Danio rerio: one gene and its partners. The protein of the gene in region 3 interacts with the protein of the main gene of each other region in a biochemical or structural test. Links are inferred from orthologs where the notes say so. Each region holds a gene or a part of one and is shown on either strand. Other genes may lie near its edges. The genes, in order: timp2b, lum and mmp14b.

The links.
Region 1: the proteins of mmp14b (region 3) and timp2b form a complex in vitro, tested with the Homo sapiens proteins (2 studies listed by BioGRID). The link is inferred for Danio rerio from reciprocal best matches to the Homo sapiens genes MMP14 and TIMP2.
Region 2: the proteins of mmp14b (region 3) and lum interact in a biophysical measurement, tested with the Homo sapiens proteins (2 studies listed by BioGRID and IntAct, with this or other methods). The link is inferred for Danio rerio from reciprocal best matches to the Homo sapiens genes MMP14 and LUM.

The regions. Positions count from the first base shown.
Region 1 is NC_133178.1:61,864,568-61,875,892, forward strand, and holds the start of timp2b (metalloproteinase inhibitor 2b precursor), read right to left. Parts: upstream 5,751-11,325; coding exon 5,630-5,750; intron 1-5,629. UniProt on the Homo sapiens protein: Complexes with metalloproteinases (such as collagenases) and irreversibly inactivates them by binding to their catalytic zinc cofactor. Known to act on MMP-1, MMP-2, MMP-3, MMP-7, MMP-8, MMP-9, MMP-10, MMP-13, MMP-14, MMP-15, MMP-16 and MMP-19.
Region 2 is NC_133179.1:16,935,812-16,947,133, reverse strand, and holds lum (lumican precursor), read left to right. Parts: upstream 1-5,824; 5' UTR 5,825-5,860; intron 5,861-6,658; 5' UTR 6,659-6,680; coding exon 6,681-7,560; intron 7,561-7,642; coding exon 7,643-7,797; 3' UTR 7,798-8,705; downstream 8,706-11,322.
Region 3 is NC_133177.1:41,181,208-41,192,358, reverse strand, and holds the start of mmp14b (matrix metalloproteinase-14b), read right to left. Parts: upstream 7,082-11,151; 5' UTR 6,869-7,081; exon of another isoform or gene 6,745-6,868; 5' UTR 6,684-6,744; coding exon 6,597-6,683; intron 1-6,596.

The DNA of each region.
Region 1 (11,325 bases), on a different chromosome or scaffold from region 3:
TAGAAATACACTTTTAAAGTATATATTAAATTATTCATAAAATATATTTATAAATAATTTAAAGTATAATAGTTAATAATAGTTAATATATTAAAAGAATATACAGATTGTAAATTGTAAAAAAAAAAGTCCTAAATACTGTATTAAAAGTATTTTGGGAAAATGTACTTCTACTACAATACATTACTAATAGATTTTTAATAAAGTCAATTTAATGTAAACTTAAAATTACCACACTCAAAATCAATTTAAGTGTTATATTATGTGATAATATTGCATTCACATTAAGTGTACTAAAGTACAACTTTTGGGAAAATGTTCTTCTACTACAGTACATTACTAATAGCTTTTTTATATATTAACTTATTTTAAACTTAGGATTAGTATGTAAACAGTGTACTAAAAATCAACTAATGTTTAAAGCATTTAAAGCACACTTTTGAAAAACACACTAATAAAACTCTTCTGGATGTTTTTTCTGTAGTGTACTTTATTGTAGTACACAAAAAAACTATTTAAGTATTACTGGTATTTGGTATACTTTTGTCAAGTGTACTAAAGTCCAACTGAAGTATAAACATACTTTTAATTAGTATCCAATCAAATTAGTAAAACCATCAAACTTTTATTTAACACAAAAAAAAAATAAAAATGTACTAAAAATGTATTTGCGGGTATTTAAGTGTATTTTAATTGCATATAATTATATATTTTTTCTCCTGGGTATCCAGTCTGATCTCACGAGGAAACGCAAGTATTTTAGGTTTTGCCAGTTTAGTGGCTAATTCGTACGAATCCGCACGAGTTCAATCATACGAAAATGTACGATTTTAAAAAGGAGGCGTGGCCCCTAACCCCAACCGTTATTGGGTGATGAGCAAATCGTACCAAATTGTACAAATTAGATCGTACAAATTCAAATGAATTAGCCACTAAATCAAAAAGTTACGAATTGCCGTGAGATTGCGTTGGTTTATCACCAGCAGGTGTTCATTATTAGTGCTCAATCATCTCCTTATTAATCCTTTCATTGTCTCTTTAACTTGAGTAACTTCAACGTGATTTAGAGAGGGACCAAATACTGGGCCCTATCATACACCTGGCGCAGTGTGGCGCAAGGTGCGGCGCAATGGTCTTTTGCTACTTTCAGCTCGGCGCAAGGGTCATTTTGAGGTGTTGCGCCACACTGTTTAAATAGCAAATGCATTTGCGCTCATATGTGCGCCCATAGGCGTTCTGGTCAGGCGTGTTTTGGCACGTTGCTATTTTGAGAAACTGTAAATAGTCTGTTCTTTAGACCAGAACAAAGTTGGTCTATTGTCTAGCGCAAAGTGCGCCTGGCTTACACCATACACACTAGATGCATTGCAACACGCAAATATCTTTATATATGAAAAAGATATCATATATTAAGGATATATATAATAAAGATATGTAGGATATAAATATAAATGATTAAAATATTACAAAATATATTAATTTCTAGCCTACATGAAGATTTAAAAACCACAGCCGTACTTTCTTCATCTCGGGAGGCTTTTTCAGTTCATTCAATTTGCTTTTGTATAATGTTATTATTATTAGCAGTATTATTTATTATATTTATATTTATATTTGTTTTATTAAAAACAAGCTTAGATTTGTCCAACTGTCAGGTTTTAGACCATATGGGGCATGGCAGGTGTATTTGGAAATAACTCAGTATTTTGACCACACTTTGTTATTATTGTTCATTTATTCGTTTGCTGGAAATTAGAACTGAATTTAGAAATAGTTTTGAAACAAATATTTGCGCTTAACAAACTAAATTAATTATTTATAGGCTAATTGATGTCTGTGCGGTAAGGTTTCCCTATCCACGAGAGCAAAAGCGAACTTACTTTACGTCAAAATACGCAAATGGCGCGACGCAGCTGGCTCTTAAAGGGAATGGGAGATGAGACTCTGATTGTTTTACTCTCAAAACACACCTATAACTCATTAAGAAAATAAACTCAACCCTTTTAGACCATGCGCCATGGTGCAAAGCGGTCCTTAAATTAGCAAAAATGCATCCTGACACGCCCTGAAAGCGTTTGCGCCCTGCGTTTTGCGCTCTGCGCATGGACTGTAAAAATAGAGCCCACTATCTAAACTGAGTACATTTGAATCAGAGGATTTTGCTGTGTGGACTGATTAAGATTGCTGCACATCCAACTGTATATTCAAACCAATAAGAGGTGTCTTCACTTCAAATCTACATAAGATTACATCAGGCATTTAGCCACAGGTCTGAGAGCAGTGCTACTATATGGCTGAGACTATCTGTAACTGTGTAAAGTGCTTTATTAATATGATTCGACTGTGTTGAATCTTTCAGCCATCATGAGCAAGTCATGTGGGAGTTTCAAACAGCCAGAATACTCCAGAATGAGATGGCCGATTCCTGCGGTGGGCGCCAGATGTTGTTGTTCAGCGAATCTCTGTTAAGTATAGGTGGGTGTGCGGTCAGTGGGGTCTCGCCATCCCAAGTCATGTAATGACCATCTATCTAATGTCAAACACAAACCACGGTATGTCGCTAGCATGTGGCAATGCTTTCTCATTTTCTGGAGCTGCAATCAGCCTGTTGAAGGAGGGCTTAATTACAGGGCTACTACACTCAATGGAAAATGCACAGGTCATGTAATGGCCGGCTGCTGAAGGTCAGAGGATCAAATCAGGCCTTTATAATTTCAGCTTTATCATATTTCAAGGAGGATGATATACACTGCACAGATGTGGGACATTATGTGCTTTCATACAGTAGATATCAGTGGAGAATAAGCTTACATTGCTCTATTTATACACATGGGGATTGAATTCATAATGAATTTATGCGAAAATAAAAGGTGGGCTGTGTCTGAGATGAGATTTAGCCGGATACGTTCACAATGTGAAGCTGATTTTTGCAGTTATTTATTACTGCCAAGTAACATCACACCTTTATGCATTATTATATGACTGAACGGGTGTGTTAAATTGTTTTATAATGACTTGTGAAATGTGACTCAGAGGATTTTTATGGGGATTGTTGTGTTATCTTGATTTTATATCATGTTAGACTCATCATACATTTATGAATCATCTCATCAGTCACTCTAAAAAAATACTCGGTTGTTTTAACCCAGTGTTAAATATTAAATCTACATGTTTTCCAACTGAATTTAAACTACAATTTTTAACCCAGTGGTTAAATTCTTTATATTTGATCCAACTTTTAGTTAAAACAACCTTGCATTTTTTTTTAGCATTCAGTTGTTTTGCCATGAAGCTCCCTAAAAAGAAAACAATCAAATGACATTTTGACTACTTTAATAATAAAACACTTGACAAACTTCTTTGATATGTTAAGCCTGGCTCATCCAATCACAGCTCGCTTTGAAGTCATTGTTTTGCACATGTTTTCACACTCTCAGAAATTAAGGTAGGCAAGCTGTCACTAGAGTGGCACCTTTACAAATGTGTACCTAAAAGGGCTATATTAATACCTCAAGGCTACATATTGGTACCTAAAATGTACAAAAGTGTTCCTCTTAAAATTTGTAGGTACTAATAAATACTTTTGAGGTACCAATATGGACCCTTCAAATACAAATGTGCGCCTTTTGAAAAGCCACCCTAGTGACAGCTCACATACCTTTATTTCTGAGAGTGTACAACCAGCTATTATTTAAGACTCTTCTTTCATTTCATTTGAATAATCTCATCCTTTAATTTTCTTTTGCCCATATAGTTCTAATTAGAGAGAAAATAATTATGCACATTGCTTAGTTATTTATAACATGTAAACAAATTACTGCTCTGAAAAATGAAAATGAAACTGGTCACACTTTGAGGCAATTCTTGCCATTAGCTATGAATCTTAACTCAATAAACTCCTAATTTTCTGCTTATTAATATTTTTTAAGGAAATTGTAAGGGTTAGCGATTGAGTTTGAGGATGTAGGATATTTATAAGAACTAATACAGACCCAATATCTTAAAAATATGCAGGCAGTAAGCCAATAGTTAGACGTGAGAATTGGTACTCAAACTAAAGTGTTAATGTAAGTGTTACACACTGTAAAAAGCAAGATATGTAAAAATAATGTGAATAAAATAATAAAGAAAAGAAATCACAGCTAAAATTGTAAACTTTGGTAAAACATGACAGACCCTATGGTGTCTATTTGGGAATATCAAAACAAAGTTGATGAACAAGATTAAAATCTGATCAAAGATAGTAGGAAAGCCTCTTGAAAAATTATATGATCGTTTGTATTACAAGAACCTCACAAGGCTGGCAAGGAAGATGATTTCGAACCCTAGTCATGTGTTGAATCATGAATGTGTACCATCAAGTCTAATCCTCGATTTAGAGTCCCAGGTTTTAATAAAGTGAAATTTAAAGAGTCATTTTTACATCAGGCTGTCCTGGAGCTGAATGAGGTCCTTGTAAAATGAATATTTTTTGTATTACTCTTTGATTCCTTGTAAGCAGTATTTATTATGCTGTTATGCAAGAAAAAATTCAGATGCAAGTCTGACAATAAAGTTTTGAATTGTTTTGTTATGATAAAATACATTGACATTATCATTATTAATAGCATAATCTAACTCTAAAAAGTATTGTGATACAGATAAATGGATTTAATATGTGTAAATAACATATTAATGTTAGGGTAAGAAACCACAACATGTTCAGCTGTAGAAATGCTGGATTCCACACAATCGATTTCTGTAATGTCAACATGAAGGAATTAAAAAATAACTTATTAGTTTTTACAAATTTAAGTGGATTGAACATAAAACAATTAAGTTGTCCCCCAAAAAGTTGTCATTTCAGCCTATTTTAAATAAGTAGTTTGAACAAACTGGAACCGTCATTGTTTGAGTACAGCAAAAGTACAACTACAGTTACAATAACTTATTGGCTTGTATAAAATGAGTTGAAACAACACATTTCTTAACAAAATTGTTTTACGTTCAAACCACTTAAATTTGTTAAGTTAACCTAATCAATTTATGTTGGGACGAGAATGAATTGTGTGGAATCCTGAATTTTTTAAAGTGTTGATATGTGTTTAGTCAACATGAAGGAAATTAACTTATTAGATTTGATCAATTTAAGTAAATTGAACACAAAACAATTAAGTTGCTCTAAAAACAAGAATTGTTTTAACTTATTTTAAATAAGTAGTTTGAACAAACAGCGAACATATTTTTTGAGTATGAGAAACTTTTTAAAATGACTTACAGCTCCACTTTTTTTTTTATAAGTTGAAAAAACACAATTTTTGAGATTTGTTTGGACAACTTATTTGTTTTATGTTCAAACCACTTACATTTGTTAAGTTAACTTAATTGGTTTGTGTTGAGACAACACAAATGAATTGTGTGGAACCTTAAATTTTTTACAGTGAGGTTTACTTTGTCATTTGTATTAATTAAGTACCATACTCTAAAAATGCAACCATCTAAGAAGTTTTTTTTTAAATGTTGTTTCTGCAGGCATTATTTTCATAATAAAGGATCCTGTCTATGGTTTATACACACACATTAATGTGACACAGTCATGGGTGCATAATGCAGACATGGATGTGAAATAGTTAAATGCATGGAATCTTACCGACATCCGCATTGCAATACGCCTGCTGTGGATGTTCAGGAGAGCAGCTGCAGGCTCCGGCAAAGTCCGTGGCTCCACACAGCACGAGCAGCAGCAGAGGAACTGACCGAGACATACTCATCTTCAGCGGACACTCTTCACGACCAACACTGGCACAAATACAGTAAAAGACTGGCTTGCTGCGCAAGGCAAACTTCGGAGAGCGATAGTTGAAAAGCTGACGGCGAGGAGCTGATGAAAGCAGACTGGTGTCAGAAGCTCGGAGTGGACAGACAGTTGCGTTCTCGGTGACCCGCCCTGCTTTTATCCGCATCTGAGCTCCGCCTACCCGGAGCCGGCATGACTTCTTGGCCGCTCTTAGTCATCATGTCCATCATCTGTTTTGTTGGTATTTAGTCTTTTTTACGTTGGCCGATATAGAAATAAAACATGTAATGAAATTTAATAACAGTACTGTATTGGGCAATGGAGAGAGCCTCTGACGTTTCCTTGGCTCTTGACCGCACGATGACCGCCACTCACTTCCATATTAAAGATGTTTCTGTGCCCAAGCATAAATGTTCATTTTTGAGCAATGTGTATTTCATATATTAAACTGGCTTGAGTTGTGAAATTTTAAGTATATCATACACTGTAAAACAATCTCATTAAATTAGCAGTTTTCCGTAGGCTACACTAAAAAAATATTCATTGTAGTTACTACAATTTTGAGGTAGCTAAGTGGTTGCAAGCAATTTATATGGGCTAAATTTAAACAAACGACTTAATTTTAGTAGTTGTCAACTTAATTTGTTTAAATTTACCCCATATAAATTGTTTGCATCCACTTAACCTAAATTATTTTTTTAGTAAATACAATGAATATTTTTTCCTGTTTATTTTGTGATTCTTGATTTATTTATTGTCAGTAAAATTCAGCTGACGCTTCAAAACATTCATAAAGAAATCTAAAAAAAAAAGAGCATAGGCTCTTTTATCTTTATAATGCTTTAATTTGCTCAGTTCTTTTGTATTTTATTTTTAGTGTCTTTTACAAATGTTCCCTACTGAAAAAAACAGCTTAAACCAGCCTAGGCTGGTTGGCTGGTTTTAGCTGGTCGACCAGGGTGGTTTTAGAGGGGTTTTGGCCATTTCCAGGCTGGTTTCCAGCCATGTCCAGCCTGGTCTTAGCTGGTCAGGCTGGGAGTTGACCAGCTAAAACCAGCTTGACCAGCCTAGCCAGGCTGGAAGCCCAGCTAAAACCAGCTGTGTCCAGCTTAAACATGGCAGGTCAAGCTGGTTTTAGCTGGTCATTTTCCAGCCTGACCAGCTAAGACCAGGCTGGAAATGGCTGGAAATGACTGGAAACCAGCCTGGAAATGGCCAAAACCCCTCTAAAACCAGCCTGGTCGACCAGCTAAAACCAGCCAACCAGCCTAGGCTGGTTTAAGCTGGATTTTTCAGCAGGGTTTTCAGTAAACAGACTTTAAATGGAGAGACAGAATGCTACTATTTGGTTATTAAAGTCTAGGGATGCACTAATGTGTCAGCCACCGTTATTTATTGGCCAATATAGATTCATTTAAAGCTGTCAACCTATTAGTACTGATATAAAAATACTGATGGTAATGGAGAAAATGTGCTGTATGTCTTATAAAGTACAGATAGCAAAAGCACTGGCTTGTTAAGTTTATTAAATTAGTATGTTATATTATGTCAAAAAGCCTTTTTGGTCAAAACAATATTCACTGTAAAATGCTGCTTTCCACACGATAGATTTGTGTTGTGACAACATGAAGAAACAATTAAGTTGTCCCCAAAAAAAAAATTCAACTCATTTAAAATGTTTGAACAAACAGCTAATGGTATTGTTTGAGTGTTAGAATAGAAATAAATCTGTGAAATGTTGGAAAGTTGAATGGTGATCCATGTTAAGTAAAAGTTATTTAATGGAGGAAAAATAGCTAGTATTGTATATTGTGTGCAGTTGACCAATATCATTATAAGACTGAATGAATCTTTGGTTAAAATTGTTAGAATAGCCCAAATGTTATTTTTTGTTGTTGTTGTTGTTGTTAAAATCAGTATCAGTATTGATTTGAGAACTGACCACATTTTTTTGTTAATGTCAGAATTGTATCGCAATTGGTTGAAGTTTTGTTTGCTTATTTCGGAATCCGTGACGTATCCAGTCAAATTTTTTTGTTAATATCCGTATTGTTATCAGCTGTAGGTTCTTTAATATTGGTATCAGAATCAAACTAAATTTAATAAGAAAAAATATAAATCAACCTTTTTTATTATTATAGAATTGTTTTCCAATTGACTAAAAATTTTATTTGCTAATTTTTTTTTTTTTTTTAAATATTGGTATCGCAATCAATTGAAATGTATTTTTTGCTTACATTGGTATCAACCGAAGGATCTTTAATATTGTTTTCTTACTAATATTGGGCTCACACGAAGGTTTTTGATATTGGTATTAGAATTGAACAAATGGTTTTTCTTTTTTTAATATCAGTATTAGTATGGGTTTTGTGAATCTATATTTTTGTTGAAACAAGTTTTTTGTTGTTGTTAATAATTTTTTGTTAATATTGATATCGGAATCATTTGAAAGTTTTTTTTTTTTTTTTTTTGGCTAATATTGGTATCAGTATCAGTCGAAAGTTCTTTTATATCGGTAGTGGAATGGAACAATTTTATTTAATTTTTTACATTTTTTTGTTAATATTGGAATTGTAAAGCAATTGGTTGAAAGTTTTATTTACTAATATCAGAATCTGTAATGCAGTCTGTCAAGTTTTTTGTTATTATGGCAATCAACCAAAAGTTTTCCTTTTGGCTAATATAGGTATCAGAATTTATTTGGGAATCAATTTTTTTTGTTAATATCCAAATTGTATCACAATTGGTTAAAAGTATTTTTCGAATAATTAGTTTATTTGCTAATACCATAATCTGTAATGTAATCATTAAGTTTCTTGTTAATAATGGTGTCGGAATTGATTGAAAGTTTTTTGTGAATATCAGTATCAGCCGAAGTTTTTGTATTGGAACCAACCAAAAGTTGTTGTTTTTTAATGTTGATATCTGTATCAGTATTGATTTGGTAATGGATAATGTTTTAGTATTTTTTTTATATAAATTTTTTTAACCACAATTGTTTTAAAAATGTATTAGCTAATATTGAAATTGGTAACGTAATCGGCCAAAGTTTTTGTTAATATCCGTATCACCAAAAATTGCATAGGTGCATCCCTTCTAATATTATTTGTGTTCTGAAGATGAACACATTTCTTATAGATTTGGAACAACTTGAAAGTTGATGAACGATTACAGGACTTTCATTTTGGGTTAAACTAGAACTTTAATCTCTCATAAAAATGAGAGCATGATTTAAAGCTACCACATCCCTGCTTTTCACAGCACGCACAATGCGATTTTACACATTCATTAGTATTAAAATTTCAGCAATACACACTTTAGATTTAGAACATCTCACCCCTGGTTGACCTTTGTGTGCATGCTTGACGTTGGCATGTGAGGTAAACTATGGGTCACAGTGCATTTGATCATGTTGCAAAGCAGTATTACGGATTTTGTGTCCATCAGTAATTCCCAAACTTCCCTTATCAGGGTCAACCTCGTTTACCGTTGCTTGCGTAGTAATATTCTGCCATGTCTTTGAATAACTATGACGCAAGAAGAAGTTGATTTGTCTTTGTGTTGAGAGAAATAAGGAACTCAATCAGATTTTAAGAAGATGAAGGAAGTCCCTGTTGCTTTACTCTGTTGAAATAAGCACCAGCACTTCTTGACATTCAGGGAAACACTTCTGCGTCCTCTGGTGACCTCTAAACCTTTCCCCCATATTTCCTCTCTCTCTCTGTTTACTCTGGACTTTCTTCAGTAGTAATAGTCTGAAGAAAGACCCTCTCCAGTCTGTCCCGGGACAGACGAGTCTTCGCTGAGGCCAGCTTCAAGCCTCCACCGCTGAGACTGCAGCTCTGCTCAAGACTTTTGGCCAGCGGAGAAATTAAAATGGTCGTGCTAAACTGAGTCTGGTTTCTCTCGGTGAAGTTTTTTTTTCCCTCTTCGCTGTCGCCTCTACCTAACATGGTTTAGGATCGGTAGAGCTACCCATCGATGAATTTGCTCTTCAGTGTTTGGACTCTCGGTAATGATTTTAAACCACACTGAACTGAGCTAAACTGAACTGAACTTAAACACTTAAAACTGAACTACCCTGATCCAGTTACTATGACCATTTATGTGAAGCTACTTTGACACAATCTACATTGTAAAAGCGCTATACAAATAAAGCTGAATTGAATAGCAGTGATGCATGTCTTTGCACACCAGGCTAAATAGGGTAATTTACGCATCTTACGAAATCTGACGTATCATCGCACGTTTTACTACTTCAACGTCTGGCCTTCCTCTGTACAGACGAAGGAAACCCTTCCAGGCCATTTGAGGGGAATTTTCGAAGTGTAATTCCCTGCCGTTTTCCCTTAAAGCTAATTAAAACCTAGAGTGCCCCAGCATGTGTTCTTGTGGTTCATTTATTAGTACGAGAAGCCATTGTGTCATGGTTTTAAAGACTTGTATTGCTTGTACATTGTAATTAAAGTCTGAAAAGACTTCCAGTGAACAGGACTGTAGATGTTTTGGCTGGGCGGTATATTCAGTTTCACTTTTGTGAAACTAAATTGTTGTTGCTCTTTGTTGTAAGTGAGAATTTTGGCTGGTGTGATACATTTAAGGCTTGTTCACGCCAGTAAAAGTAACTATAAAGGAGCTGAGACACATTTGTAAAAGCTGAGCTACTGTTTTAAAGACACATGATGCGACAAAGGAGTGAAATGCAGTTTAGTGGTCAAACCAACACAATCTCAAGGCAATTAGTGACCTTTTATTTGTATGTATTCGTATGATCTTATTCGTACAGTATGATTAGTACAATTTGCGGTAACACTTTATAATAAGGTTCATTAGTTAATGCATTTACCAACATGAACTAATCATGAACAACTCTTGTACAGCATTTATTAATCATAATTGAACATTTACTAATGCATTATTAACATCCAAGTCCATGCTTGTTAACATTAGTTAATGCACCATGAGTTAACATGAACTTACAATGAACTACTGTATTTTCATTAACTAACGTTAACTAACATGGACAATTACAGTAGTAAATGTATTGTTCATTGTTTGTTCATGTTAGTAAATGGATTAATTAACATTAACTAATGAACCTTATTGTAAAGTGTGACCCAATTTGCTTATCCCTCAATGACGATTGGGTGTACAGGTGGGGTTTGATGCCAAGCTTCTCTTAATTTACGACTGAACTCGTTCCAATTCATACGAATTAGCCACTACACTGTAAAAAATAATACCCTATATCTACTTAATAAAATTGAAGTAACAGATTACAAGCAATATTATTATTTAATAAAAAAAAATATGGATTGAGTTTTAATTAATCAAATTGGCTTATTTAAAATTAGTCATTTAAAATAAGTAACTCCGAACAGTACTTAAAATAATAAGCAAATTTTAACCAAAATTATTGGTTTAATTATTGTTCTGTGAAACAGAAACTGATTGTGAATTTTAAAATGCTCATTTTAATCAAGTTGGATTCAATCAATATTTTCTCTTCTTTAAATTATTATAAATAATAGCTAAATTCTTATAATAAA
Region 2 (11,322 bases), on a different chromosome or scaffold from region 3:
AAGACACTGATCATGTTAATGATTCTCACAAAAGTTATCAACAGTGATTTAACAGGGTAGGAAATACCCTGTATTTAATGTATCAATGTGCAACACTTTATTTTTATATTTCTCAGCAAATATTTACATTTTTAAATGATTACTTCTATATTAGATGAAGCTTACTGGTTAGTGGCGCTATGGTGAGCTATTTTTTAGAACAGGCCTGTGGGCAACACATGTGATCCTCGCGGGCTACCCCTGCACTAAACTGACAAAACATAATATAGTTATATTTCCTTGTGAGATCATGCTGACCTATCTGATGTTCAAGAATTCTACAATTTAATCTTAATTTAACCACACTGTGTTGAATTAAGACTACAACCTTAAAGGGTTAGTTCGACCAGAAATGAAACTTCTGTCGATGATTGCTCAACCTCATGCTGTTCCTCTGACACCTTTGTTTATCTTCAGAATACAAATGCTTTATGCCTTCAGTGGTTCAATCCCAGCTACGGCAATACTTTTGTGTGCGCACAAAACAAAAAATAATGACTTTCTTTAAGAGATTCTTCTCAGTGTCAGTATAGGGTGCATATTCATGGGCATTGAGAACAACCTTCCTGAGGGCTGTGTCTTGTGTTTTTAGAAGCAAAGATGTATTCTGTGCCCTCTTCCTCTGTTTGAAACAAAACACAGGTGCATGTGAGGTAGTTATACACATAAAGCCCTAAAATCATGTGATAAATATTATCAAAGTGTAAGAAAATGTTAAATTGTGAATGTAATAAATTCCATTACACAGATTCACGTTCATTTTCCCATTGGAATACACTACTGTTTCCATTGCTTTTCAGTGTAAACATGCTCCTGACTTACACTTACATCTTTTGACGTGCTGTGCACATGAGGGTTGCAATTTTTTGACGTTGTGTCATGGGCGTTGCTAGGCCCATTTTAGGGGGAGGGGAGGGGGGGCTGTAGCCCCCTATATTTCTACTCAGCCCCCTAAAACTTTTGTAATTAGCTCATAAACTGTAAACTAAATTATCACCTCAGTCCCCTTTAAATTTGATATGAAAACGACGGCAGAATTCAGCTCCTCCCCATCTTTTGTTTTTCACTTGATCAGAAAACCACAGCCATGGACAGCTAGAGAACAAGGTGTGTGTTTATTGATAAATTGTTATAATATCTGCTTATTTGCAGTTGTTTGATATGAAATAACCTTGTATCATCTAGCCTCCTGGATTTTAGACGCGAAGATGCATTTGGTGTGAATGAGACCTCACACAGAACGTGTTTTTCCATTCCAAAGCACCACTTTTCCATTGTTTTTAATGTAAATATTAGACTGACGGATGTGTGACCAGCCCGATTTCACGAGGAAACCTAACTATTTTAAGTTTTGTCAATTTGGTGGCTAATTTGTACAAATTCACATGTCATTGGCTGATGAGCAAATCGTACCAAAATGTTTGAACGAAATTATATAAATACATACGAATTAGCAACTACATCAAAAAGTTGGCGTGAATTGTCGTGAAATTGTCGTGAGATAGTCTTAGTGTGACCATTATTCTCTTGTCTTTTTAAGCAATGCGCACGAGCAATACGCTTTTATTATTAATATTAAAGAGCCCATATTATACATGAAAAAGGGTCATATTTTGGTTATATGGGTCTCCAACAACATACTGATATGCATGCAAGGTCAAAAAACACTTTCATGGTCTTATAATATGCATTTATTTTTACCCAATTATCACAGCGACTCCCATAATCGTTCAGCGATTCATTTGTTCCCAAACCCCTCCTTAGTGCGAAGCTAATCTGCGCTGATTGGACCGATGACAGCCTGTTGCGATTGGTCGACAGCATTCAGCGCTAGACAAATGCCCAGCGCGGTTTGTCAAGCCCCCGGCGGACAGGCCCGTGCAACAACCCCGTGATCGTCATAACCCCCCGCACGGGAAGTATGAACGGCACTTGTCAGTGAAAATGAAACCTATAGCGTGCACATCATTTACTGAGCTTGATTTCCGTGACCGAGCTTTTCTCTCTTCTAAGCTGTAACTTAGATCATTTCTATTTGCAATTATTGCTGTGGCACCTCTTGCGTGAAGTGTTATAGCCCACTGTAAGCGTGTAGACTGCTGAATCAATTATTTCCCCTCACACTTCCAATAATATCCAGCTAAGCACAGCGTCTTCTTGACTCGTCTTCTTGTCTTTGCTGCTGTGCTAGTGGGCGGGGCGCAAGTTTTAATTTTCCCGGGTTTGCGCCCATATCAACTATGTTTCGTAGTCACGTCACGCTGAAACGGCTAAAGACTCGTTATGAAAATGATTCATTCTAACCACTATGAATCAACTCTTTTTTTTAGATGACTCAGTAGTTTTAAAAACTGTCCACTTTCAGATTTAAGCCTTAGCTGGATATTTCCCTTCACTTAGATCTGTGTTACACACTAAATGGATGCTCATTTTCGAAAACCCACAATAGGGGCTCTTTAAAATATAAATTAAATAATACAAAATGTAACCCTTTGTAATTTTACTCAAAACGAGAAAAAAGTATGATGAGATAACAGTGACTGGGTTGAATTTGCCGTTGCATTCCAGTGTGTTGTACTTGATATGCCACTGTGCTCCTGCAGATGTTGTGGTTTACATAGTCTTAGAGCTAATACAAATCAGTCATACCTGCATTAGGTTGAGCAGCGCAGGTTTGTCCTTACCTGCCGCATAACTGCAAAACATACATGATGTCCAGACATGAGCTCAACAGCTTGTGTTTGCCCTGCAGGCCTCACTCAGTGCAGGATGACCTGCAGGAATCGTGACAGACGAGGAATGATAAGATTGATTGAGAGCAGTTGAAAGGACCACCAGTGGTGTCTGATCCGTGGTCCAGCAGTTACTGCACATGCTATAACATGCAGTGGTGCTCGAGCATGTAACTAGTGTATGAAACTTACTCTTAGTCACTGTTTCCCATTTGATTTTATTTAAATATATATGTATTTAATTTTTTCAGACTTTTGAATTTATCTACATGACTAATTTGTTTTAATTTAATATCATATTTTAATAATTTGTTTTATTTGACTTTCAGTAAAATAACTACAGACATCAGTTTGCAAACTTATTGATATTGGGATTTACAGTAGGGGAAATAAGTATTGAACAGATCACTATTTATCTCAGAAAACATATTTCTAAAGGTGCTGTTGAATTGAAATTTTCACCAGATGTTGGTAAAGAAAACAAATTTAATTACTGTAGTTTACAAATTAAGTTGTGTAATAAAATGAAATGACACATGAAGGGAAAAAGAATTGAACACATGAAGAAAGGGCGGTGTAGAAAGGCAGCAAAAGCCCAGACAGCAGCTGAAATCTCTCAGAGGTTATTCAGAAACACTCTGCCATTGTTGTTACACATTACTATTTTTTTTGATTTTTTGTTTTGTTTTATTTTTATGTATGTATTGTTTGAGTTTTTACCAAAACCTGGTTCAATTCCATGTCAACAGCTACTTTAGAAATATTATTCGAGCGTGATGTGGCAGCAATTCTCTTCGTGTTGGATACTCTATTATATATTGTGGATATGTGTTTGTTTATTTATAAATGACATAATTATCTTTGTTTTATTTTATTATTTTGATATTTTGTATCATTTTATTTATTTATTTGCTATTTTTTGTGCACTTTGCACTGGACATTTTTATCATTACCTTTGTAAAAAAAATTCCACCATTTTTTACACTTCCGGGAAAGGTCATCGTTTATTAAACTGTTTATTTTTGGTGTTTTTGTCAGGCATCCTACACCTCGTAGTAAACCCATTCGGGGAAAACTACACAAATTATAACAACAGCACTCGTGACATCCGGCCCTCTCACAAGTCTGTGGAGAGGGGAATATTTATGTGTAATTAATTTTCCCCATTGTGTGTGTGTGTATATATATATATATATATATATATATATATATATATATATATATATATATATATATATATATATATATATATATATATATGTATTTTTATTTATTTTATTATTTTTATTTATTTTATTATTTTTTTTATTAGTGTGCTTTATATTCCATTAATTCGACAGACCAGAGTTAAATAATCCTTGTATGCCATTGTGATCACATCTACAGTTCAGATTTTGTATTTCAATAAATTTGTCAGGCTTTTGTCCTCAGACTGTGAATGTATGCAGGACCAGGTTCTTACAAATCTCATCAAGCCTTTTGTTGACATTTGATTATATTTTTGAATGTTGTATTTTGTGAAATCATTTGGCATAGTTATGTCTGTAATCAAAGTCCCTTTGAGGCAAGTCACTTTACTCAACGGCCATTTTTAAAACACCTCTCGGGCAGAGAATTTAATGTTTCCCTCTGAATGGGAAAACATTAAATTCTCCAAAACTGCTTGCCAAGCTTACCACTGAATTCCATATTAGGTATCACCAATAAAGTTAAACAACAACTGTGTCTTTAGTTTCATTTCTAAACATCCAAATCACACAAAATCGGCAGAAACTCTCGTCTGGTCTGAGCACCTCCCCCGGAGTATTGTCTGTCTATAGCAATCGAAGATTGGCTTATGTACAAGTAGGCGGAGCTTTATTCACCATATTGACCATTACACTTCACTATTTTGCCTGGAACTACTTTAGCTGTGCATTTATCTGAAAAATGTCTGCACACTTTATAATGTTCACCCACCATTCAGAATCAAGCATTCAAAACCCTGCAATATTTTTTTATCCTACTCCAAAGTTTATCAGTTTAATTATCTTTAATGGCCAAGTAATTGTCAATGACCAGACAGGATTGATTAGTTTAGATTATAATCCTTATTTTATATCTTCCTAATTCTTTACAGCTTTTACAGTAGTGGCCCAAGAAATGCACAACCTAGGCTCTGATACACATAAGGCTTACAGAACCAATCTATCATCTGGCTCTCTGGCTTTGCTGCATTCCTAAGACTCCGCATGTGCTATTAAAGATAAACTGACCTGCAATCAGCCTTGTCTTTCCTGGATCCCTCATGAGTTGTGGCCCACCTCAATGTGCTGTGAGCTTCCCATCACAGAGGACCATGACCACAGCCAGACAGAAGCCGTCTGGAGTTTATGGGGCTTAAGATTAAAAGATGGCACACTGCTTGATGATATACAATCTACCAGCTGTTAACGATTGGATACACTCTCCGTTCAGATGCCGAAGGTAGACAACACGGTTATGTAAGGCTGGTTTGGCCCAATACCCTTTTATTTGGTCAGTTTTTCCAAGTCCCGGTTGTCTAATAGCAGGCAGATGCCATTGCAACCAGCCAATTTATTTTATTTTCCAAATAGTTTGAAAATAGTTTCATTATCCTTTGTTTTGCTAGGATTATTACTTTTACGGTTGAGGTGTTTGTAGGCTTATTTGTGTCTCACATAATAGGTGAACTGTTTTGTGGGATTGTTTGGAATGGATGACATGGAAATGGAAAAGTTTGTGTGTGTGTGTGTGTGTGTGGCAGCAGGTATATATATTTTGCAAAACCTCCCCAGTGAGTCTTTGCTCCCTTCTGCATCCCACGAAGGACTACATGTCCCAAGCTGCATTGCTACTACTCACCATTGTTAAGATCCATATGTGCCACAACTGCTGACATCTACATACTAGAACCGCCTGACTTCTGTTTTCAATCTTGGGCGACTAAGGTCTGGCTTGAGTGTCTCTCTCTCTCTCTTTCCCTCTCTCTCTCTATCTCTTTCTCTCCACTCTCTCCCTCCCTTACTCTTTCTCTCCAGAGTCCTCGGGCCGCACACAACTGTACCTGAAGAGAGAGAAGCAGGAAGGTAAGGATATTTAGCATCTGCTGTTATGCATTGAATGTTCATGCTAGCTTTTGCTTTCTCTGGATGAGATTATCAGAAATCTGCTTGGCAGATTTTGGGGGAGGACTAAAGAAACATTATGATCATATTGCGGAAATTCAGCGTGATGTTTGGGAAGCTTGGAGTTCTATCTAAGCTGTTTGTGGTCAAATATAAAGGCTGTCATTTAGAATTAAATCAAATGATTTATAGGTTTTTTTAAATGCATGAAATTGTACAATGGAACAATCAATGCAATTTTTTGCAGGAAGAAAGAAAGATAAAGCAGTGCATGCATTTGACTAGTGATTTTGCATCAATGGATTGCTATAAAGAAAACCTGGGTTGCGAGATTCCATGCTTGACACCTGCTGCAAATTATTCTATGCCGTCATAAATTATTAATGGATTACCCAACTTCATAAATGTCTTTCTTTTCCAATTCCATCTTAATAATTAATCAGCATGTCATGCACAAAAAAGGGAACTCTAAAGTAAAGTCAATGTAACTTGAGATGAACTTGGATCCGAACACCAGCAATGTGGGTCTAATTTGTGAAGGGAGGAATGTCTGTCTGGGCCTATTGCATTCTTGAGAATGAAGTCATCAATTTCCATTAGAAGAGTGTCTCTGGTTTTTGTTTATGTCTGAGGTTCACCGTAGAAAGTTCTGTTATTCTTACACATTTTAGTTTTTTTTTAATGTAATATTGCTCCTTATTTAACCACTTCTCCCTTTCTTTCCTGTTCTCTTCTCCTCTCTACTGATCTCTTGTCTAGGTTTAATTTAAGTTGTGCAGCCATGTTTGCTCTGGGATCCATTCTGTTGGCTGGACTTCTAAGTCTGAGTTTAGCTCAGTATGATTACTATGATGAGTACTACATACCCTCCGCACCACTGGAGGGCGTTTCATCACCTTCTTGTGCCCAGGAGTGCGAATGTCCCATCAACTTTCCCACTGCCATGTACTGCAATGAGCGCAACTTGAAGTTCATCCCCATCGTGCCGACCGGAATCAAATACCTCTACTTACAGAACAACTTCATTGAGGAGATCAAGGCTGGAGTGTTTGACAATGCCACCGACCTTCGCTGGCTCGTCCTCGACAACAACAACATCACCAGTGACAAGATCCAGGCTGGTACTATCGATAAACTAGGAAGCTTGGAGAAGCTCCTCTTCAGTCATAACAAGCTGACTAAACCCCCTGGTTCTCTTTCGAAGTCTCTGGATGAGTTGAAGCTGATCGGTAACAAGTTAACCTCATTCCCTGCTAACACTTTGGCTGGGATGGAAAACCTGACAACCGTCCACTTGTCCAAGAACAAACTTACCACCGAGAGCCTCACAGGAGCCTTCAAGGGCCTCAAGTCCCTCATTCTGCTGGACGTGAGCGAGAACAAGCTCAAGAAACTTCCCTCGGGAGTTCCAGCTTCGCTTTTAATGCTCTACGCTGACAATAATGACATCGACAGCATCCCTAACGGCTACCTGGCAAAGCTGCCACTCCTACAGTACCTGCGCATCTCCCACAACAAACTTGTGGATTCAGGAGTCCCTGCAGGAGTGTTCAACGTGTCCTCTCTTCTTGAGCTTGACCTGTCTTTCAACAAGCTGAAGACCATCCCGGAGATCAACGAATCACTAGAACACCTCTACCTGCAAGTCAATGAGATAAACAGTAAGTTTTTTTAGTCTCCATCTGGTTAAGCGAATCAGATTTTGCATTGATTTTGACTCCATTTTGCTTTCTGTTTCTTTAGAGTTTGAGCTGACGAATATCTGCAGATTTAGCTCACCGGTCAACTACTCTAGACTGAGGACCCTGCGCTTGGATGGAAACAACATCACACACAGCAGTATGCCAGATGACACAGCTAACTGCCTACGCCAGGCCTCAGAGATCATCTTTGAATAGAGCTAAATCTCGCCAGTAGCTCATCAAACAAAATAAGGCTTTAATTCTTATTAAACCAGGGCTGCCCAAAACTTTTCCTGGAGGTCCAGTGTCCTGTAGATTTTAGCTGCTGAACGAGCTAATGAAGACCTTCAGACTCACTAACAACTTCTCAGCATATGTGATGGAGCTAAAATCTGCAAGACCTTGGCCCTTCTGCAGCTAAATTGAACATCTAAACCTGTTTCCAGAGGCCGTTATCCTGCAGAGTTTAGCTCCTGAACATGCTGATGAATGTCTTCAGACTCACTTGAACCTTCTTAGAAATTGTGTTGTAGCTAAAATTTGCAGGACTTTGGCTCTTCAGGAGCAGGATTGGATGACTAAACCTGTTCCCAGATGGCCACTATCTTGTAGAGTTTAGCTCGTGGAAACTAATGAAGGTCTTCAGACTCTTTATAACTTCTTAGTGCGTCGGAGCTAAAACCTGCAGGACTTTGCTCTCTATTAGACACTCTGGATGTCTTTATTCGGGATTCTGGCTACCACATTCGGTCACTTGCACATTGTTGACAATATTTGCTGTTTAAAAAGTTTGTATGAAAAACGGGCAGCAATAGTCTGAAAATCTTGAAAATCTGGCACATAAAAGATTAGTCTTGTATTATAATGTATGAAAAGTGGAAATATTTCAGTCTAAAGAGAGACACAAAATGCTGTGCACTCTATAATGAGTTGCACTACATGTCATCTATTTTTTTTTTTGCATGTTAAAATCTTTAATCACTTGAAACTGTAATCATATTATTAATAAGCCTGCCAGTAAGGATATTCGACTGTTTTCTACAACCTATGGATATGAACTAAATGCACAGCAGTGCATTTTAATTTACAAATTAAAAAATAAACATTGTACATTGAGTGAATTCTATCTAATCTCAAAGGGGGTTTATTTAAATGAGAAACTGCAGTGGCAAAATTTATTAATTGCAAACTAGTAGCGGCTTGCATTTCTGAACTCTGCCAACGATTATTCCATATTCTACTGTATCTGCATGCAGCTCATCTTAATTTTGTAACAGTAATTCCTTTCAGTTCTATGGTACACAGCAATGACTTTTTGATGTATTCATTACACTATTTCACATCATCACAATGTTAGTCAAATTATTGAACCACGAGATTCCCATAACTTTGGCAGACTGTTATATAAAAGTTGTAAGATCCCTGATTTTTTTTTTTTTCAAGACAACATCAAAGCAGTTTGTTCATCTTAAATTGAATAAAACACATTTTTTTTTTACCTATGTGGGAGATACTGAAGATGTCAATCCTTAAAATTAGATCAGATCTAGTATTATAACACACAGTGCCATTTAATTTATCAAGTAATCAGTCATGCTTTACTTTGTTTTAATTGTTATCAACTGATTTGTCAAACCAAAATTAGGCTTGCACATCATAGTGCAGTCAAGCTACTCTAAGTTTGATTGCTTTGATCTTAATTTATGATCTTCTAGCATGACTTGATGTGGATTTCCATTTCTTTACTCTGTTAGTTCTGGTATGGATCTGTCCTCCTTCCTTCTCCTTTTTGGCCTCTCACTCTGATTCCTGGTTGCCAATTTAGTTCTGTTTAAAGCAGAGCCATGATGACAGAACTGCTTCCTGTAGGAAACGTGTTCACTTGATGTCTGAAGAAAAGGTTGTGGATAAAAAAACGATAATGAAAAGGTCATTGTATTGAAGAACTAGGGTGTTATATCTGCTGGCAGCACTTTATAAGAATTATTTGACTTCATGTTACTTTAAAAGGTAAGACCAAATCAAATCATTCAATAAAAACGTTAGGCTTTAGTAATAGTTTCATGTCAAATCTTTATACATGTCCATAAAACCCAAACTGCGATAAAATTGTAGACTTAAAGGATTAGTTCAACCCAAAAATTAAAGCTCTGTTATTAAATTTTCGCTATCATGTTCTTACAATTTCCTTAAAACACATTCATTTTCATGTTAAGACATTAAAAGAGTTTTGATGAAATCTGACAGCCCTCTTATCTTCCATAGACAGCAGCGTTTTTAAGAGTAACTGTAATGATATGAAGCTTCAAGAACACTGTGCCAAAAGACGTGTAAATACATATATCTGCTCTCCCACGTTAGATCATCTACGTGCACATTTAAAAAGGGAAGTATGACATATTGCTATTATTGCCCGTAGATAACACATAGCCTAATATAATGATCTGTGATGCATTCCTACGATTCTAACACTTCTCAATTCATAGTTCTACAACATTGTGATTACACTTTTAGCCTCATGACATAGAAAAATATCCAAATCTCCAAAGGTCATACGGGTTCACCTACTGTGCATGCTTATAAATAAAGACCATTGATCTTCCAAGAATATCCTTTAACATCCAAAGTACATTTACCTGCACTTCCCACTGAAGGTTCTTTAGGGAAAAAAAGATTATTAAAAGTCATTTGTGCTAACAAACTAATGGTTCATGAAAAGCTATTTAAGTGATAGTTTACTCAAGAGTAAATTAAAAAGTAATAATATTTTCATTTTTGTGTAAACTGTTTCTTCTTTACGTAATCAAACCCCATTTTTTGTTAGTTTCTTTATGGCATTGCTACAAAAGTTTTTTTTTGTTTTTTTTTTTGTCATTTTTGTTTTTAAGAGAGCTAAATGTCTGACGTTCCTCTTGTTTCAATGACCACCTTTGCATATTGTGTAGCTGGGATGTTCATATCTTCTCACAGTGCCAGTGTTTGAGTTAGCTGTAAACATTCATTCCCTTTCTTGGCCCGGGACATACCTTGAATGAATCATAAAATATCCCCAACAGTTGGTCCATTCTTTCCTTTTACTTCTTCCAACCATCTGCTTCCATCTGTCTCTCCGTCCCAAACCACACCTTTATGACAGGCACTTCAAACGTTGCATTTAACATAACTACAGATTTGAGCACGCGTCTGAGCTAGCACTAAAAATGAGTGTTTTATTTAAAACGGTAGAATTTGCAGGCAGACAACCTAGCATTCCAGAGAAATGAAGCGTTTTGGGTGACCATCTGATAGTTAAACAGCGAGGCATTGTGGGAGTTCTTTTGTCCATGTGTTGGAAACAGATGATGGATGGGCAGTTCTGGCTTTATAGCAGCCTGAAAATATAAGATCGCCACAAGCTGATCGTGCACTTTCTTTTCCCAGAGGTTGATGATGAAACATAGTTTTCTGACTTTTCACCATACACATTGTCCCATACATTAGAAGGAAATAGTTTTTAAGAAAAAGAAATGTAGAAAAAGACCCTGGTTCAGTCCATTAGTTGTTCATTGGAGACTGATCTTTGCAGAAGTCTGACATACATCACCAGAGTGAAATATGTCTTTCTTCAGGAAGACTTATTATTGGCAAGGTCAATAACACATTCGTGTTTTTACTACAGCACTGAAAAGACACTTAAATTTTGATCTTGCCATGTCATGGTTGTTTTTTTTCAGTGTGCTTGTCAGCTATGCAATTGTGGTC
Region 3 (11,151 bases):
TCTGCAATGACTCAAATAACTTAATAAAGTCATCTGAAGTGGCAAAGAAACCGTTCTTGCAGGACTCCCAGAGTTCATCAAGGTTCTTTGGATTCATCTTTAATGCCTCCTCCTTCATCTTACCCCAGACAGGCTCAATAACGTTCTTATCTGATGACTGGGCAGGCCAATCCTGGAGCACATTGACCCTCTTCTTTTTAGGAACTTTGATGTGGAGGCTGAAGTATAAGAAAGAGCGCTGTCCTGCTGAAGAATTTGCCCTCTCCTGTGGTTTGTAATGTAATGCGCAGCACAAATGTTTTTAAACCTCAGGCTGCTGATCCATTCTGCAGATCTCTTGCATGCCCCCATACTGAATGTAACACCAAACCATGATTTTTCCTTTACCAAACTCGACTGATTTCTGTGAGAATCTTGTGTCCATGCATGTTCCAATAGGTGTTCTGCAGTATTTGTGATGATTGGGATGCAGTTCAACAGATGATTCATATGAAAAATCTACCTTCTTTCACTTTTCCAAATGATCAACTAGAAGTCAAGTTGGTATTTGTTGCTCTGACAACTGGGATCGATGATAAGACGTTTTTCAGGTAGTGTAAATGCGTGTTTAATAGGGATGTAACGGTATTGTAAATACCGTCATACCGCAATATTAATTTTTTTCGATATTACCGAAGTCGCATGACTCGGTAAAACTATAGGTCTTCTGAGAAAATTTGCTCAGGCGAATGAAGCGAACGGAAGGTAACGAAAACTACAATTGCCATCAGCCCATGCTTGACCATCATCCCTTGCGGTCTGTTGTTGCTACAGATCCAGTAATGCGGAAATGGAGTGTGCTGCTAGAAGCGGGGATGAAAAGAGCTGGAAAACTCTAAAGCAGGTCGCACACCAGAAGCGCCGCTCGGCGCCGCGACACGGCGCGTACATGACAGATTAAAGTATCGCACACCAGACGCGCACATTCGAATGATATTTAACATGAAACTAATCAGATGGCGCTCTGTGGCGCGGCTGAAAAATGAACTGCGTCCTGAGCCGTCGCCGGGTGCCGCCGACAGCCGCCGGTGTGTGTATCCTGATAGAAACCTATGATTAGAATTCTAAAATACGTGGCGCGCCGCGCCGCCGAGCGTCGCTTCTGGTGTGCGACCTGCTTTATCTCCGTGTAAGTTCAGACTTCGCAAGTTTGATCAAGGCTGCAGTCTCTTCTTCTCAGTTTGATATGGAAAAGCAGATTATACCGAGGACACGGGTAAATCTTCAAAGGGAACAGTGTACTTTATAACTTCATTCACATCACCCTGGCTTCGTTGTTTCACTTTCTCAACAATAAAATGTAAACATGATTTAAGGAACTGCCTATTTTCATTTTAATATTAGCAACTTAGACAGCAGAAATGTTGAGGCGTCGTGCTGCATAAGATGAGCGTCATCTTCACTGTGTGGTTATTTATAACAAAACGGAGCCGATAACAACTGCCTCCTTTCAATTTCAGTGAAAATACGAAACACAGCCTCTCTTTTGCTGAGTATCAGTTTTAAGAATCGATAATGGCCATTTTAAAAGTATAACATACAATAAGTTTATACATTATAGGAAATAAAGGCAAGCGATCAGTCAATATACAGAATGTACGTGCTTACATTAATCATTAACTTATCTTTGCGCTCAGCCAAAACACGTTACCTGAGAACAAGTAATAGATTCCACTGACCAAAGTCAGGGAATATGTCGTTAGATAAAGACAACAAGATAAATGAAATATCCCGTTTAATAAATATAGTGAGATTAGATCCAGCGGGAGATGCTTGATGAGAAGTCCGACTAGCAGAGCTCTCATCTAGGTAGATGGGCTGAGTGTGATTAAATGTTGAATGTGATGAGTTTTCAACAATACTAAATTGAAACTTTATTTTTTTTACATGGTTTAATAATTTTTTGTTATTAAAATTGAAGTTCCTGTTTCAAAGCTTACAGATAGATGGCTAATTTGTATGTCATTGACACTTTTGGCACTTTTTTGGAGTATTTTCATAAGTTTTGTTTTTTCCTGTAAATGATTCAATAAATACCGTACCGTGACATTCATACCGAGGTATTACCGTACCGTGAAATTCTGATACCGTTACATCCCTAGTGTTTAAGCCATATTTTAATATCTTCACAACTGATAAAATGTCATAATGTCCTGTAAATTCCATCACAAAGCTCTACATTTTTATGTATCTTTCGGGATTAATAGGTTAGTCCACTCAAAAATGACAATTATTTATCGTTTACTCTGCCTTATGTGGTTTTCAACCTTTGAGTTTCTTTCTTTCTTTTTTTTTTCTTTAACAAAAGAAGATATTTTGAAGAATGCTGGTTGCTGGCATACATTGTCTTCCACAGTAGGAAAAAAAAATTCCATGGAAGTCAATGGGTCTAAGCAACCGGGACTTTTCAAAATGACTTATTTCAACAGATAAAAGAAACCCAAATAGTATTTGGGACAAAGTGAAAGGAGCGTAAAAAGCCAAATTTTTTGGGGGGGTGAACTAACCCTTTTAAAACTACCACTGAGTCTGCCAGGACTAAATACACTTTTGGTCTGGCCCAAACAAACCAAAAGACCTGAACTGCAAGTGTGAACACCAAATATCAAATCTAATATAATGTAAAAGATCCAAAATGTAAAGAAAATCCTCAACGCTTTCATAACTTGCAAATTTGATTAAATAAATTCAGTTTTCACCCTCATTTTGGCTTGGCCATGATGCATGAAAAATTAAGTTTGAGTTATTGTGACAGCATGCGTGATCTTTTCTATTACTTTATATACAAAGGAGCAATAGGCACCATTTTATGTTGAGAGGCTGAGAGAAAGACATGCAATTTTAAAGGAAAATGAGTCACAACTTCCATTTACTCTGGGCCAATGGAATAACACAGAATCTGGGTGCGCGTGTGGTGAATCCAAATCCAATGAAGCCAAATCATAAAAATGCAGTTCAGCTGCTCAGGTTACGCTAATGAAGCTCAACAGCTGGATAAATGTATCGACAGCGTAACACCAATAGCGAAATACTTAAAAAGAAATGCCTAATGTAACTGGAGTTTACCAATAACAAAAACAGTGGTTAGTATTCAAATGTATGTACTGTGACAGCCCAAACTTTCTTGCATTTAATTTACACTTGACAACTTTTATGCGTTGGCCTTTAATTTGTCAAGACTTTAATTTAGACATTCAGTACAAAAAAGGCAAAGATAACCTCATTGCTTATACTCTATCAAGATCTTGTTTGTAAACATGAAGATGTTTATTCTTGTCTGTGGGGGTGTTATGTCCCTTATGTATTAATTCTGCTCTTTTTATTTTTATGAAGTGTTCTGTGTCTCTCTGCAGGAAGTAGCTGCTTGCTCCTTTTTTTGGTCCTGCCCCTATTCCTATTGATGCTGACCATGTCCATCTCTTAATGACCACAGTGTACCCATCTGCTGATGGCTATTGCCAGCAGGATAGAACGCCATGTGATAAAGTGCGAATCATCTCAGACTGGTTTCTTGAACATGACAATGAGTTCACTGTACTTAAATGGCCTCCACAGTCACCAGACTTCAATCCAATAGAGCACCTTGGGGATGTGGTGGAATAAGAGATTTGCATCATGGATGTGCAGCTGACAAATCTGCAGTAACTGTGATGCTATCATGTCAATATGGGCCAAAATCTCTGAGGAATATTTCCAGTACTTTGTTGAATATTTGCCACAAAGTATTAAGGCAGTTCTAAGGGGGTCCATCCTGGTACAAGTAAGGTGTACCTAATAAAGAGGCCGGTGAGTGTTCCTTTCTGAAACCACTTAATGCAAAGATCTTGCTGGTTGTTCAGTCTTAAAAGGATCCAAAATAAAAAAAAAATCTATTGAAGACCAAATATATTTTGCAGATTGTTGAAAACTGTTAGCCACTGACATCCATAGTACAAAAAACATTTCTAATTGCAGGTCAATGACTACTAGTTTCAAACATCAAAAAAAAGAATCCAAAAAAGGATTTTACTTTGTAAATGACCTAATTTTCAGATTTTGTCCAGGGACTGTACAATTTGTAGTCAATTTCAGCCTTTCATTTCTCTGTTAGTCTCTCTTTTCTAAAATGACATCACTTTTCAGCCTACAATACTTTCTATTCTTTATGCAGAATTGCATCATTCACACCCACCGCGTTTCCTGCCCGAAAACATCAATCCCATTTTCCCCCCATCTCTTTGTCTATATTCTCCAACATTCCACCCCCTTCCTCATCCCACTTCCTTCCTCAAACTCTGTCACTACATCACCAACCGTTGGCATCATCGCACATCTGCTCTGAAGCCATGTGGTCAAAAAATAAAAAAATCCCTGGGCTATTTCCTGCGGTTCTGTCCTATGAAGGATGTGACTAGCCATATGTGAGCAAATGCATGTCCAAATAATGTGGCTTACGCAATCATTAATGCAACTCATCAGATGACTTATCTGTCAGTGACAAGAAGTGCATCAAAAATATCATTGTGATATGGATTTCACAACAAATGGAGGTAGACACAGACACTAGTATTGTTCAAAAACAGGTGTGCAGAAGTCTGTATAGCTGAAGGAAATCCTTAAGGAATTGGGAGAACTTCCTGCAGGATTGTGATGACTTCCTGGTAGCCGAAATGGAGAAACAGAGGAAGAAAAGAGCCCATATGGAGATATTTTTTATTTACTCTGTCTAAACCCCTCCTCTACTTTCTGACCGTAACTGAGGACAGATGTCATCCATTAAATCCTGCAGCTTATAGGAGCCGAAAAACCTTTCTCCCCCCAAACTCATCCTCAGCATATCCATCCACCCTCTGACCACAACATTACAGTCATGACTTTTCTTCCTGTTTTCCTGCGGTAATCGGCCGTTCTTTTTTGCATCCTCAGCATCTTTCAGTATCTGCGGTCTCTTACTTGACCTTAATTCAGACTCCTCCACAGTGTTTACTTTGATCACAGAGCAGAGAGATCTGAGTTTCTTAAAACTAAACATCTGTGACAATAATACTTGTGACTGACAGATCATAAAGTTTCAGAGCCTCATAAGTTTAATCAAATCCATAAATGGATATATCCTGTAGGGTTTCCACCCTTCAGCTAGAATGGAAATGAACATGTTATTTATGGCTCTATAAATTTTGCTGTTTTGTTCTGAATTTTGTTAACATGTCACATATTTTTGTGAACAAAAACTATGCCCATTTTATATTATAGTTTTGCATAATGACAGTGTTTTTATAAACTGATTTTAATTTACACTCAAAGATCAGATTTTTTCTAAAAAGATTATAAATGTTAATGTAATTTTTTTTCAAATCAGAATACATTAAGACCACGATAATTTTCTCATCTCATAATTTTCTCAATCTCATTGGCATTACAAATGTTAAATCACAATACATAGGTTATTCTTCAGCAGATATCGTTTCTTATTAGCCGCTTTTGCTGCCTTCTTTTTTAAATATTGTGACATTCAAACAATTTAGACTTTGAATCAGAGATGCCCAAAGTAGGGCCCGCGGGCCAAAGTTGGCCCATTGTAACCTTTGATTAGGCTCACCATCCCATCTGAGAATGATAGAGGGGGTTGGAGCAATGCCTTTAACAGATTGTCACATTCTGATTTGACATTAGATTGTCATATCTAATTTGACTTAACCTGTTTTTGTTTGTTTGTTTTATTTCACCACAAACAAAAAGCTAATTGAAATGACGTTTCAGTTAAATATAAATTAGTCTGAGTTTTTAAAACATAAATGCTGTCACTCGACAAATGGAGGACTATGCAAAAGACATAGACGAGCAAATCAAGGCACAAACTAGAGATAAATTAGTTTATTTTTTTACTGCAACAAAAAAAAAAGTTTTAGTTTGGTATTTTATATATATATATATATATATATATATATATATATATATATATATATATATATATATATATATATATATATATATATACTGTATAAGTTACTGTATTAGTTATTTTTATAAATATTATTAAATAAATTGAGAAATTACCTATGGCAACTATATTTACCTTTGGCACACTAGCCTTAATAAAGTTTGGATTTTTGGCCCTTCATAAGAAAAGGCACCCCTGCTTAAGATCAAGTCTCACATACACACACAGTCTGCTTTTATTAGCCAAGCATTGACCTACTTTAGTGAAGGTCACACAGTTTGACATGCAAGTCTAGTAGTTTGTTATACAGTAACAGTTATCAAAGAACTTTATCCAGTTTCGACATATTGTTTGGAAAAAAGTTTTTTTTTTTTTTTACTTTATTAAAACAAAGTCATATATTTATATGCCTTTTAGCACACACACTTATACTATTGATTTGATATGAAACGTTTGTTTTTATCAGTTTTTATTTTATTTCTTTTTTAAATCATGTTTTTCTTCTAGCATGAATTACTGAGATGTAGTCATGTATCGTTCCCTAGGGATGAAACATCTTTCGATGCTCATATCTGTACATGTTATCAGTTATCAGTGATACATATCAGTTTAAGTTTTAATAATGCATGATACTCACCTCAGGTTTCATATCTTGTTTCGAGGACGATCTGTGCGCGCACACAAATATTAGGAGCAACAGCCTCGTGAACCCGCTCCAGATCATTTTTCGCTCTGATTCCTTTGTTGAAAAAGTACTCGTGATAAAGTTTGACACCACTTTGTTACTGTCGAAATAAAAAACGCTTTAAAAACTAGTGCCTACCACAATAGTGGTACAAATTGGACGAGAACTTTGGTTTCTCCAGAAAAGCGGGAGAATACAGACGTTTATCAAAATGTAAACAATACCTGCGATATATTACCGTTGCATTGCACGGACTGAAACTCTACAGTCTAAAAGTCATCGTTTCATGCACTGGGCGCTAGAATGGAGCATCGACAGAACGCATTGTAAAAACAGACAAGCTATCATTGGCAAATATATCTTTGTCTTATTTTTCTAGTTTAATAAAATCTTCGGCTTCTCATGCACAGCAACCCCTTTCTCTTGGTTGTAGACGTGGTCGCTCGATCGAAGTTGCCAAAAAACTGGATAGTAAAATCCCTCCCTCTTCCATTTAGCCCATCCCGCTCACTTCAGATCCACGAACTTCATGGCCTTGCTGACGACTTTTTTGCTGGACCTTCCTTGTGGACAGAGAACATACTTCATATGCCAGTTTCCCCCTCCCTGACTAGTAGACTATTGTTTAGATCAATGTTTTTAAAGCAATTTTAATTGAGGGTTTTGCTCGACATTCGTTTAGTGTTTACCATCTGTCTCTTTGTGGCACTGCCCAAAACACTGCTCTAAAGCAAACAAGCATGACAGAATGATTCATTTACACTTGATGGAAAAATACGAGCATAGCGCCAGGGGATGTAATGTAATTTGGCTTTTTATGTTATAGTTGATATATTTAAAACATTTGTAGGATTTTTATGTCATTAAATTCTTACAAAATAAGACAATTTATAGTTTTGTGATTTAACACCTTATGGTTTTAAATGTACAGCATATGTTTTGTAGTCATATATGCAGCGTATATATTTTATACAGTATTATCATGTCTCGAGTCTGTTAGTGCCAAGGTTCAACACTCCCACCTACCGGTGGCATTCTATCATTACATGTTTTGCATTTTGATAGATAAACTGGAGCAGGGGTGCCCATACCTTTTCTTAAGGAGGGCCGAAAAGCAAAATTGATTGAGGACTGTGGGCCGAAGGAAAAAATACCAAACTATATTAAATTAAATTTGCCATGGGTAATTAATAATGTTAAAAATAACTACAAATCTATGCTTTATATTAACTAATGCAGTTTTTTAATAATACATTAATAACAGTAATAACAAAAACAATCCCATTTAGAACAGAGGGAAGTTTAATGCCGAATACACGAGTCAACTTGCATCTGTTTTTGCCTTGATTTGATGTCTCGCTGATGTCTTTGGCATTGTTCTCTGTCCATAGATTGACAGTATTTACAGTATTTTTGAATCTAATTGACACATTTATGTTTAGTTTGCTTTTTTTTTGTAGCTCAGCAATAAAACAATCAAAAAAGCTATGTTAAATTAGAAATTACGATCTCAGTTAAAGACATTCGCCCCCAACCCTCCCATCAGTCTCTTCTCAGACTGGATGGTGGGCCAAATCAAAGGTTACCGTGAGACAACTTTGGCCCGCGGGCCCTAGTTTGGGCATCTCTGAACTAGAGCAAATACAGTGCTCATCATGGCGGAGTACACCACATTTTGAAAATGAGTATTTTTATCCATTTGCCAGTGAATATGGGCAATATATATTGGTGCATTTGAACAAAACAGATTTATTAAACAGATATATTTATGAAAAAAAGATTTTAGTCATGGAACATCTTTAGAAATGGAAAGATAAATCATTTAAATTCATGCAAAATATTGCAAGAGAAAACATTCCAACACAATTATATATACTTTGTTTCTCTTGTTTTTTGTTATTTTTGAAAATTTAATTTAATATTTTCCCTAACATATACATTTGGGCTACTAATATTTGAACCATTATTGTAAGCTATTTTGTTAGATTAGCTCCAGATTTGGCTTCAGTACTGACTAAACTAATGTACATGCACAAATATAATATTGTAAAGCATACTATAGAAAATATTAATTTAAATGAGAGATTCGTGCATGTTATCACATATTAAGATGTTTAAAATAGATCCCACCTTTTACTTTTAGAAGAACTTCCTTCTGTACTTCTGGGGAGCCCTGAACGATTTGTGAAGAGATCTTTCATTCATCAGATTTAAGGATGTTAAAGATGGTGCTGAACATGTGGATGTAGAAGGTTTGCACACCCTTACTGAGTGACTAATTTTCTGCATTTTCCATATCGAAGGAACCCATGATGACTTTTTCTGAGTGAACATAAATCTTTTCGGGTATCAATGTGAAGGATTAATGATTATATCAAAGGGGTTTTTCCCATTGCTTATGTGCAATGTATTTTGGGTAGTACTTTATATTATAGTTATGTTTTGTGTTGCCTACATACGTCCTACTTATAGTAAGAATACATAACTGAGCTAATAACTGGGTATCACTTAACCTACTCTGTAAAACCCAAAAAGTTAAGGTAACTCAAACCATTTACAAAAACCGATTGCAACAAACCATTTAAGTTCAAAAACTAATTCTTATGTGTACTGTGAACCTAATCCATTTTAATAAATGAAGAAATTTGAGCGCAGTAAAACCTAATAAATGAAGAGAACTCAAACCAACTGAGTACTGAAAAACCCAATATGTTAAGGCAACTCAAACTATTTGAGTTTCTCTTTTCAAATTAGTAAAATTAACTTTCAGTACATTTTGAGTTACCTACACTCATTTCATTTGATAAAGTTGACTGTTGGGTTTTACAGTGTAACATTTAAGGCATAATTCACCTAAAAATGATAATTATTTACTCAGCCTTCAATTGATCACAAGCTATTTCGAGCTTCATTCTTCTGTTGAACACGAAAGATTTAAGTTTAAAGAATGCTGGTTACCTGAACCTACTGACTTGCATAGTATTTTTGTTTCAGTACTATGGAAGTCAATATGTGCCATCAACCAGATTCGTTTCTCAATAGTGGAAGTAGGCATAGTTGGGTAAACTTAAAAGCGTAGTGAATTGGAGAGTACAACAAAAATTTTTTTTTTTTACAATTGTGATTGCTGAAATAATAAAAGAAAAGCTCCGCGATGGTGAAAAAATGTGGAGACTGATAATTGCAGACAAGTATACCAAGCATCAGCAGCAGAAAACTGAAAAGAGTAGCAACCAAATAAAATGCGAACTGTGGTTATACAAAGGTTAATAAAACTACTAGAGCGCAGATTTTGACATGTTTTCTGAATGTTAGGAAGTGACTGTAAATATACTTTAGTAGAGTTTTCCCAATAAGAGTTTTGTAAATGAACAGAAACCAATGAATTTGTCGGCGTAATTAGAGAAAAGGCCAATTCAATAAAGAATACAGTTGACAGTGATGAGTATTAAACGGCGCAACAGTAACTAAACTAATTGCTGCTTGGTAAATAACATCCAGTTTGTGAAGAAGAGTTTTTGAAGCTGATCTGTAAATTAAATCCCTATAATTCAAAATTGTTAATACTGTTAATTTGACCAATACCTGATTGATTTCCTGCCCTATATACGCTGCATTAAAAACTGCATTAAAAACTGCATGAAAATTCTTTAAAAACTTAGAAAATTCTTTTTTTTTTTTTTTTTTTTTGTAATTTGTTGCAAAGGTACAACGGTAAGATATAATTCACATATAATTGCATATAAATGTTCATACATTGCAAAAAAAAAGCTAAATATTAAAAGCTTTCAGGGGTTTAGGATGCTGATGACCATTAAACGCATCATTAATAGTCTTGTGAAAAGGGTCTATACTTTCTTTTGTGTCCAACAGAAGAAAAAAACTTGTATAAGGAAGAATAAATTAGGTCATTTTCATTTTTTGGCGGCTGAACTATTACTTTAACCCATGTAGTTACCCTACATAACCCAGTACTTTAAACATTAATTACATGTACTGTTAATATTTAGATATTTATGCCAGATTTTGCAACTTAATGTACTGGTCTTAACTTAAAACAAGCAGTTTCTTAAGCCCCACAGTAAAGCAAATGTTGTGGAATCTCCAAATAATCTACCCCATTAGTGAGGGTAGACGTGTGACCCTCTTAGATGCAACAACTATGTAACTGTAATAACTCTATACTGTAAAACCCAACAGTCAACTTTATCAAGTGAAATGAATGTAGTTAACTCAAAATTGACTAAAAGTTAATACTACTCATTTGAAAAGAGTTTTGAACTCAGTGTTGAATGTAATGAGTTAACATACCTCATTACTTCAACTCAAATTTTGTAAGTTCACAGTACTCATATAGATTAGTTTCCTCAAACAGTTTGAGTTGCCTTGACTTATTGGGTTTTTCAGTACTCAAACTTCTTCGTTTACTCAAATAGATTAAGTTTGCAGTACTCATTAGGATTAGTTTTTGAACTTAAATGGTTTGTTGCAATCGGTTTCCCTTAAA